Callithrix jacchus: one gene and its partner. The protein of the gene in region 1 purifies or fractionates together with the protein of each later gene. This does not show direct contact. Links are inferred from orthologs where the notes say so. Each region holds a gene or a part of one and is shown on either strand. Other genes may lie near its edges.

Region 1 (3,643 bases):
ATGCCGGAAAAAGTGAGATAGAATCACGGCTTTCTAGGATAAACACACAAAAGACAAGACATTTAAAAACAACCTTTTTTTCCTTACGATGAAAACAGCAGTCATGGCAGCTAATACTCAAGGGAGCTTAATAGTGAAATCACTGTTCTTAGAGCTTTCATCTGTTTAAATCTCACAACCACTCCACAAGTATGTGATATTATGTTTCCCATTTTTCAGAAGATAACACTTTAAAATATGTTAGAAAACCTGTCCAAAAGCATGCAATTAATAAAAAGAAGTGGAAGTAGAATGTGAACTTAGTTTCCCGCTAGGGTCATACACTTAATAACTGTACTATGTTCTTATTATTAAAAAAAAATTTAAAAACACATAAAAATATGAAAATAAAAATCTTTTCTATCACTACCTCACAGAGAGCCACTGTTAACATTTTGGTATAGTTTCTCCCAGTCTTTTTTTGTTTGTGCAATATACATGTACACATATAAATGTTCTAAGAATTGGAACAATATCCAAACAAAATCCTTTCCCCTTTTATATCAAAAATGATTCGTGACAATAAAAATGGTATTATAAAATACCTGAAATGCAATTCTGTCAAAATTTGTCATTCAGAAATTAATTTTGCTTAACTGGATGAAAAGGAAACTGTTTGCTTTTGGTATCTTCAATTTTCCTGTGACTATTTATGATTGGACTGAGTAGGGGTATTATAAAACTCCAGACTAGCATTCTGAATATGATAGTCATTTGAAAGAGCAGTAGTTATCAAAGTTTGAATGTATCTATTCTTTCATATAATGAATCTGGCTTCCAAGTGTTCTTTCCAAATTTGTAACTGCATGTTAATTAGAAGAAATCTACATTTCCCTAACAGAAGAACCATCAGTTTGGGTGAGAAAATTCTTACAGATGTAATCTCCTCAAATAAACATTATATTAAATACAATCATCCCTTAGTCTCCACGGAGGATTGGTTCCAGGACTGTATCCCCTGACAGTCTCCTATACACCATCCCATGAATGTACTAAAATCTAAGAATGCTCAAGTCCCTGTATAAAATGGCATAGTATTTGCATATAACCTACACACATCCTCCTATATATTTTAAGTCATTTCTAGGTTACTTACAATTTCTAATACAATGTAAATGCTATATAAGTAGTTATGCTGTGTTTTATTTGTACTATTTTTATTGTATTATTTATTTAAAAAAATATGTTTTCTATTCACAGTTGGTTGAATCTGCAGATGTGGAACCAGTGGATACAGAGGGCCAAGTATGTATCATTTTCTTCATATTGTTACCTGTAAAGCTTTCAGGCGTTCTTCATTACAGTTTTCCAGATTTGTAATTTTTATAGTTACCAGTGTTCCCGTAGGAGTATGCCGTGCAAGATGGACAGAAGTCAAGTTGTCAAATCCTCTTCCTATAATCAGAGAGATAATTCATGTTAGTAACTAAAGAAGAAAAAAAAATTGTCAATTTGGACTTCATAAAAATGGAAAAGTTTTGCTCTTCAAAAAATACAGTTAAGAAAATGAAAAGGCACACTACTGATTCAAAATATTGATAATACTTATCAGGTAACCCAATTAAAAAGAGGCAGAGGATTAAACAAGCAATCCACAAAATAAGATATAGGAATGGCCAATAAGCATAAGTTGCTCAAGTTACAGAAATGCAAATTAAAACAGTGACACACCATTACATATCTATTATAATGGCTAAAATTGTGACTTGATATCAAGTCACAATTGCAATACACTCACACAATGGAATGCTATTCAGCAATCCCGTCCCCACTCCCAGTCCCTGGCAACCACCGATCTGATTTTTGTCACATAAATGGTATTAAAAAGAATACAGTCATCAGCTTCTTTTGTGTTTAGCTTCTTTCACTTAGCATATGCTTCTGAGACTCATCCATGTTGTTGTATGCATCAGCAGTTAATTTCTATTGCTGAGCAATAATTAATTGCATGGCTATACTGCAATTTATCCATTTATAACGTGAATGGTTATTTAGGTTGTTTTCAGTTTGGTGACTATAAAGCTGCCAAAAACATTCCTGTACAGGCTTTTAAGTAGACATATGTTTTCACTTATCTTTCGCAAATATCTGAGAGATTGTTGGGTCATGTGGTAAACATGTTTAACATTATAAGAAGTTGCCAATTTGTTTTCAAATGTGGCTGAATCATTTCACCTTCCCACAAATAATGTATAAGAACTGCCACTGCCTGATGTATTCACCAGCATTTGGTATTGTCAGCTTTTTAAACATAAAACACCTAGAGTGGCACCTACTAATATCCACCCAATAAACGTTAGTTCCCTCCCTCTCTCCATGGTACCGAATTTTGTCAGTTTTATTTTTGAAATGAAGTTAATCTCAAATTCATCTCCTCCCCACAGTGTCAGAGTCACTGACTTGGTTTGAGCCCTGTCCTCTCGACCTGGATGTATGCAGTGACTCCCTCATATGCCCTGCATTCTCAGCCATAGCACATGCCACAATTACTGAGGGAACTACTTTAAAATGCCTCTGCCTTGGCCCCACTCCCCAGAAACCTTGGTTCAGTAGCTCTGTGATGGAATATAGGTGCAGTAATTTTTTTAAAAGACACAGGTAATGAAGATGATACTTCTGGTTTTGCATGGCTGATCTACTATATCTTCCTGACTGTTGCCTGAGTTGTTATAAATTTGGCATTTTATCAACAGCAGATCCTACAGTGTGGCAGCTGAGAGCTTAGATCCTATAGTCAGAAAGATATGGTTTCAAATCACTAACTGTATGACTGTCTCAACGCCTTGGGGTCCTCATCTACAAAATGGGAGTGGTAAAGTGTTAAAGGAAAAAAATGCATAGTAAATGTTCACCGTAATGCCTGTTAGATGCTATTACTGTCATCATGATTCCACAATGTCTCTCTAGAAGAAGGACAATAAATTCCAAATTTCCAACTTAAATCCTCTGAGTCATAAGAAGGGTAGGTTGTGGAGGTCATTCTAAACCCACTACATGAAGTCCTTTACAACGTGTTCCAAACCTGCCTTTCCAGATTCATCTCCTATCTCTGCCTACTCTCCCCTTGTTCCCACTTGTAGTCACAAAGGAACTGTATGGTATTCTCCCTCTAACTATCCTTCCTCAGTCATTTACTGAGGTAAACATCTTTTTCCCTTTTTAGAATTGGCACCATCTGAAACTCCTTTCTAATTTTGGGTCATTTGCCACTATGTGCTATTTCAGAAAAGGTCAGATCCTTACACTCCCTTAGTCTCCTTGACCCTGGCATGTGACCTATGATTGGCCAACTGGAGCATGGAGTGAAGGACAAAGCAGCAGCAGTTGTCAGAGCTCCCTGCAGTGGGCCAGCGTCTGGCGGCGGGCAGAATACTCACTAGGCTGCTCCTGTTTCACAGTCCTAGTCCTCATCACACAGCTTCTCTTGGCTTCTTCCAAGCTTATTTCTCTAGCCAATAATTCTGTGAAATTCCTTTTTCACTTAAGTTAGCCAGGATTGTTTATGTTGTCTGTAACAAAACCTATGACTAGAATACCTAGCAAACTCTTCCTCATTCAAGATCCAGCCCCTTTTTGCCATCTCTCTTATCTCCCAGAGGTGGTT
Region 2 (4,343 bases), about 30 Mb from region 1:
GGAGTGAAGTGGGGGGTGGGAGGAGGCGCTCATCACCGTCTGTGGGAGACAGTATGATAACACACATCCTGCCAAGTAATAAAAACTTTATTCAACAAGCAAGAGGAACCAAATCTTACAGAGAAAGTAATAAACATACTTCAAGGGCCGGGCACAGTGGCTCATGTCTGTAATCCCAGCACTTTGGGAGGCCAGGGTGGGCAGATCGCAAGGTCAGGAGTTTGAGATCAGAATGGCCAACATGGAGAAACCCCATCTCTACTAAAAATACAAAAATTGCTCGCGTGTGGTGGCGCATGCCTGTAATCCCAGCTACTCAGGAGGCTGAGGCAGGAGAACTGCCTGAATCCAGGAGGCGGAGGGTGTAGTGAGCTGAGATTGTGCCACTGCCCTCCAGCCTGGGTGACAGAGCAAGACGGTCTCTAAATAAATATCAAATAAGTAGCCTTTAGAAAAAAGTTCTGTCCACAGCAGTAGTTATTAAGTGTAACTACTGCACTTCATCTGAGGTAAAAAAAAAAAAAAATACAACTTTGTCAGAAAAACATAACACACTTAGAAGACTTCCATTGTTGAGTAAAAATATTTTTATATAAAGGTATTTAATGACAAGAAAAGCTTAATAAGAGATGTGTATTATATGCATACAATGTATTTCATTATGCAGAGAAAAAATACACAGAAAAAGACTGGAAAGGAAACATGCAAAAATGTTCACAGTAACCAAATCTGAGTGGTAAGATTAAAGACAATGTTTTAAAGATTTTCTAGTACTCCCTGAATTTTGCAAGCTTTGACAAAGATCAGGTATTATTTCGAAAAGCGGAAAATTTTTAAACTGCAAAAAAGGTGGCATTCACTTGTCATACAGGCAAACAACAAACGCATGCTTACAAAACACAGGCCCTAAGCTGCTTTCACAGATCACAGAGTCTAGATTTCAAATACAACTGCTAATTACTTGCTAGCAATTTGAAGAAAGCACAAAATAGGTCTAAATACTTTCACTTCTGCCTCTACTATAAAGAGTTCATAATTAATAAAAAATAAAAACGAATAAAGAAAGCCTTACCCTTTCTACAAAAAGGTCTTTGTCCCGCTTTCTGTATCAGAATATTAATAACCATTTGATTTTTTAAAAAATCATCAATTTATGTTATTTTACACAAAAGCCACCTCAAAGAATGTAGGTTTAGTTTGGTAATTCCAAAGAGCAGACACTTAATACAAAGTGCAAGAAGTTTTTATGCATTTTAGCGTTAGCGAACGCACAAAAAAACCTTCTGTATGAAATGAGCTTATTTTATATACACCTTTCCATTATCTCTTCAGAGCCTGACATCTAATGAGGCTTTCTGCAAAAGTACTTTGCTTAGCCTGGGCATGGGAATATCTGGGAAGCTGTCAAAATCGATCTCAACTGCATTACATTCAAGGCACAGAATGTCAACTCCTGACTGGGCTTCCTTCTCTCTTCTTTCACAAGAGCGCCTTTAATATCCCCTAGCCTACATTTCCGGGCTTATGAGTCACTGAGAAATGAGCTCTAAGTTTCTCTTAGAATGCTGCTCAAATAGCTCCTCTACAGCATTCAAGGATCTGGCCCCAAAATACCTCTTTAGCCCAATACCCCCCGCCCCTGCACTATGCAAACAAACGGAATGATCCATGATTTCTAGGCTTTGTCTTCTCGTTTTTGCTGCCCTTCCACACTCTTCTGCAACCCTCCTTTCCTAAATCTCATCAGGCCTTCAAGACCCTACTCGGCACCCCCCGCCTAGGAAGCCTTCCAGGTTTCTGCTAGGCAGAAGTGATCGGTTCGGTTCCGCCGGGTGCCCTTCTAGCTCTCTGTCCTTCTTTCACAGGACTTATCACCTCCTTCCCGGTATCGCAGTTATTTGTGTACGCGTCTTATCTCCCACACCAGAGCCTCAGCTCCTCGGGGGAGGGGACAGGGGCTGGCTTCACCTTTGAATCCCTCCGGCGCGGGCCGACTACTGCGTCTGCACGCAGTCCGCGCTCGGGATGGTTCCATTGCACTCGAGAACGCTCCGACCGCACAAATCCTAACGAGAAATCAGTTAGGCATTTCCCTGAACTGATCACAAAGCTGGTATCCGCCTCCCGACAACAGGAAGTTTACCAGGGGCGGGAGCGAGACGCTGGAGCCTGGGTGCTGCCGGTGACAGTTGGCCCGGCCCGCACTTCCCCGCCCTCCCGACTCCGGCCCGGGCCGCCCCGCGCCGCCAACCCGGCCTGAGAACCACAGAGGGGGCGGCAGGAGCGCCTGGACCGCAGGCCCCCGGGCGCCCCGCGCCGGCGAAAGCAAGGGGAGCGTCTCAGCGAGGGACCCGGGCTGAGGCGGGCGGGGAGGGCAGGCCGAGCCCGGCTGCTCCCGCGGGCTCCGGGGCCAAGCCGGGCTGAGGCCGCCGCCACCAGAGAAAATGGAGGCAGCCCCGGAGCCGGTGAGGGCCCGGCGGGGCAGGCGGAAGCTGGGCGGGCGTCCGCGCCACGAGCAGGGCCGGGCCGGGGGTCACTCACGGGGCTGGGCTGGGCGTTCCCTTCTCTGCCTCCGCGTCGTCGCCGTCCCCGTCCTCGGCTGCCGCCGCCTCGGGCTGCTCGTTCAGTCCCCGCGGCGTGGCTCGGACGCTGGGCCCCTCCGTTGTCTTCCGCCCGCTCCTGCTTCAGGCGACGGGCTCCCGCGGCGGCGGCTGCACGGGCGGACGGCGGCCCAGGGGCTCCCGCGGCGGCTGCCGCGGTGCTGCTCTCACTCGGGCTGCGGCTGCTGCTGCGGGACTCGACGCCGCCTTAGTCTTCGCCTATGCCCCCGCCCCGGCGCCTGAAGGTTCTGTGTCTCCCAGGCCGCGCCGCTCCCCGATCCCCGCGCCCCACTCGCGGCCCGAGCCCGGCTTTGACGTGCGCACTGCGCAGCCGCCGAGGACGCGACGTCGGGCGGCGCCGCAACGCCCCCTTCCGCCTCGGGCGCCCCCGAGCGGCCGGCGGACTCAGTGCGCTGAGAGTTGACACCAGGCCCCAGCGGGAGGGGCCGCAGAGAAAAGCAGAAGCCGAGTCCGCAGTTCCTCTTCCTCAGCTGCGGCTTCCAAGGCGGGGCTCAGCCCCTTCTCCGCCTGAGCGCGCTTCCTACGGGAATCGCACGCTCACTTTCAACGACCGCTTCCTCAACTCTTCAAGCTTATTTCTGCGAAAGGCCCGCAGCCCACTTTGTGTAGACCGATTCTGTCTTATTTGCGATCAGATCATTTTAGCATCTAGGGGGACACAGCATAGAAAGTGCCGGAACGTTCCAGATTAATGGGAACGTTCCTATTTAAATCAGCAACCTGGATTTAAATTATTCTCCACCATTTGCTATCTGTGGGCTGTTTCACGTCCCTATGCCTGGATTTCCTCACACATTAAAAAAAAAGTGTAATAATATAGTGGTTCCTCCCACGGGCACCTGAGAATGAACGGGACAGTGCATTACAAAGCTCTGACAGTGAAAACTGGCACATACAAATGCCTTATGTGTGTACTTTTGTTTCTTTGTTATTAATGTGTAATTGAGCTATTTTTTTAAGCACCTCCTGTATGCTAGGGGGTGGGGCAGTGATCGAAACAGTCTCTGCTCCTGGCACAAACAGTTGACAAATAATTGACTAATAAACCTTAATATCTATAATACTGGACAGGTTTTTTTGTGGGTTTTGTTTTGTTTTGTTTTTTGAGACAGAGGCTCGCTCTGTTGCCCATGCTGGAGTGCTCACTGCAACCTCCGCCTGCCGAGTTGAAGCGATTCTCCTGCCTCCGCCTCCCCGGTAGCTGGTATTACAGGCACCTGTCACTACGCTCTGCTAATTTTTGTATTTTTTTTTTTTTTTTTGAGACGGAGTTTCGCTCTTGTTACCCAGGCTGGAGTGCAATGGCGCGATCTCGGCTCACTGCAACCTCCACCTCCTGGGTTCAGGCAATTCTCCTGCCTCAGCCTCCCGAGTAGCTGGGATTACAGGCACACGCCACCGTGCCCAGCTAATTTTTTGTATTTTTAGTAGAGACGGGGTTTCTTCGTGTTGGTCAGGCTGGTCTCGAACTCCTGACCTCAGGCGATCCGCCTGTCTCGACCTCCCAATGTGCTGGGATTACGGGCGTGAGCCACTGTGCCTGGCCCAATACTGGACAGTTTTAAGTGCCCTGGAGAAAAACACCACTGGATGAAGTGAAGAGAGAAGGCAGCCTGTTGTTATTTGCAGTGCTCCTCCAGGGATCGGCTTCCTGGAGAGAGAGGGCCTGGGAGCTTTCTGTATGGAACGGCAGAGGGACCCGAAGGACCAAGGCCCTGAAGC

Evidence for each region. Proteins that work in one complex are often made in the same cells at the same time.
Region 2: the proteins of STRADB (region 1) and CAB39 purify together in Homo sapiens (affinity purification with mass spectrometry; 3 studies listed by BioGRID and IntAct, counting the BioPlex papers as one, with this or other methods). This does not show direct contact. The link is inferred for Callithrix jacchus from reciprocal best matches to the Homo sapiens genes STRADB and CAB39.

What each region holds. Positions count from the first base shown.
Region 1 is NC_133507.1:122,530,284-122,533,926, reverse strand, and holds part of STRADB (STE20-related kinase adapter protein beta), read right to left. Parts: intron 1,435-3,643; coding exon 1,313-1,434; coding exon of another isoform or gene 1,240-1,312; intron 34-1,239; coding exon 1-33. UniProt on the Homo sapiens protein: Pseudokinase which, in complex with CAB39/MO25 (CAB39/MO25alpha or CAB39L/MO25beta), binds to and activates STK11/LKB1.
Region 2 is NC_133507.1:152,182,175-152,186,517, reverse strand, and holds the start of CAB39 (calcium-binding protein 39), read right to left. Parts: upstream 2,928-4,343; 5' UTR 2,542-2,927; exon of another isoform or gene 1,969-2,541; intron 1-1,968. UniProt on the Homo sapiens protein: Component of a complex that binds and activates STK11/LKB1. In the complex, required to stabilize the interaction between CAB39/MO25 (CAB39/MO25alpha or CAB39L/MO25beta) and STK11/LKB1.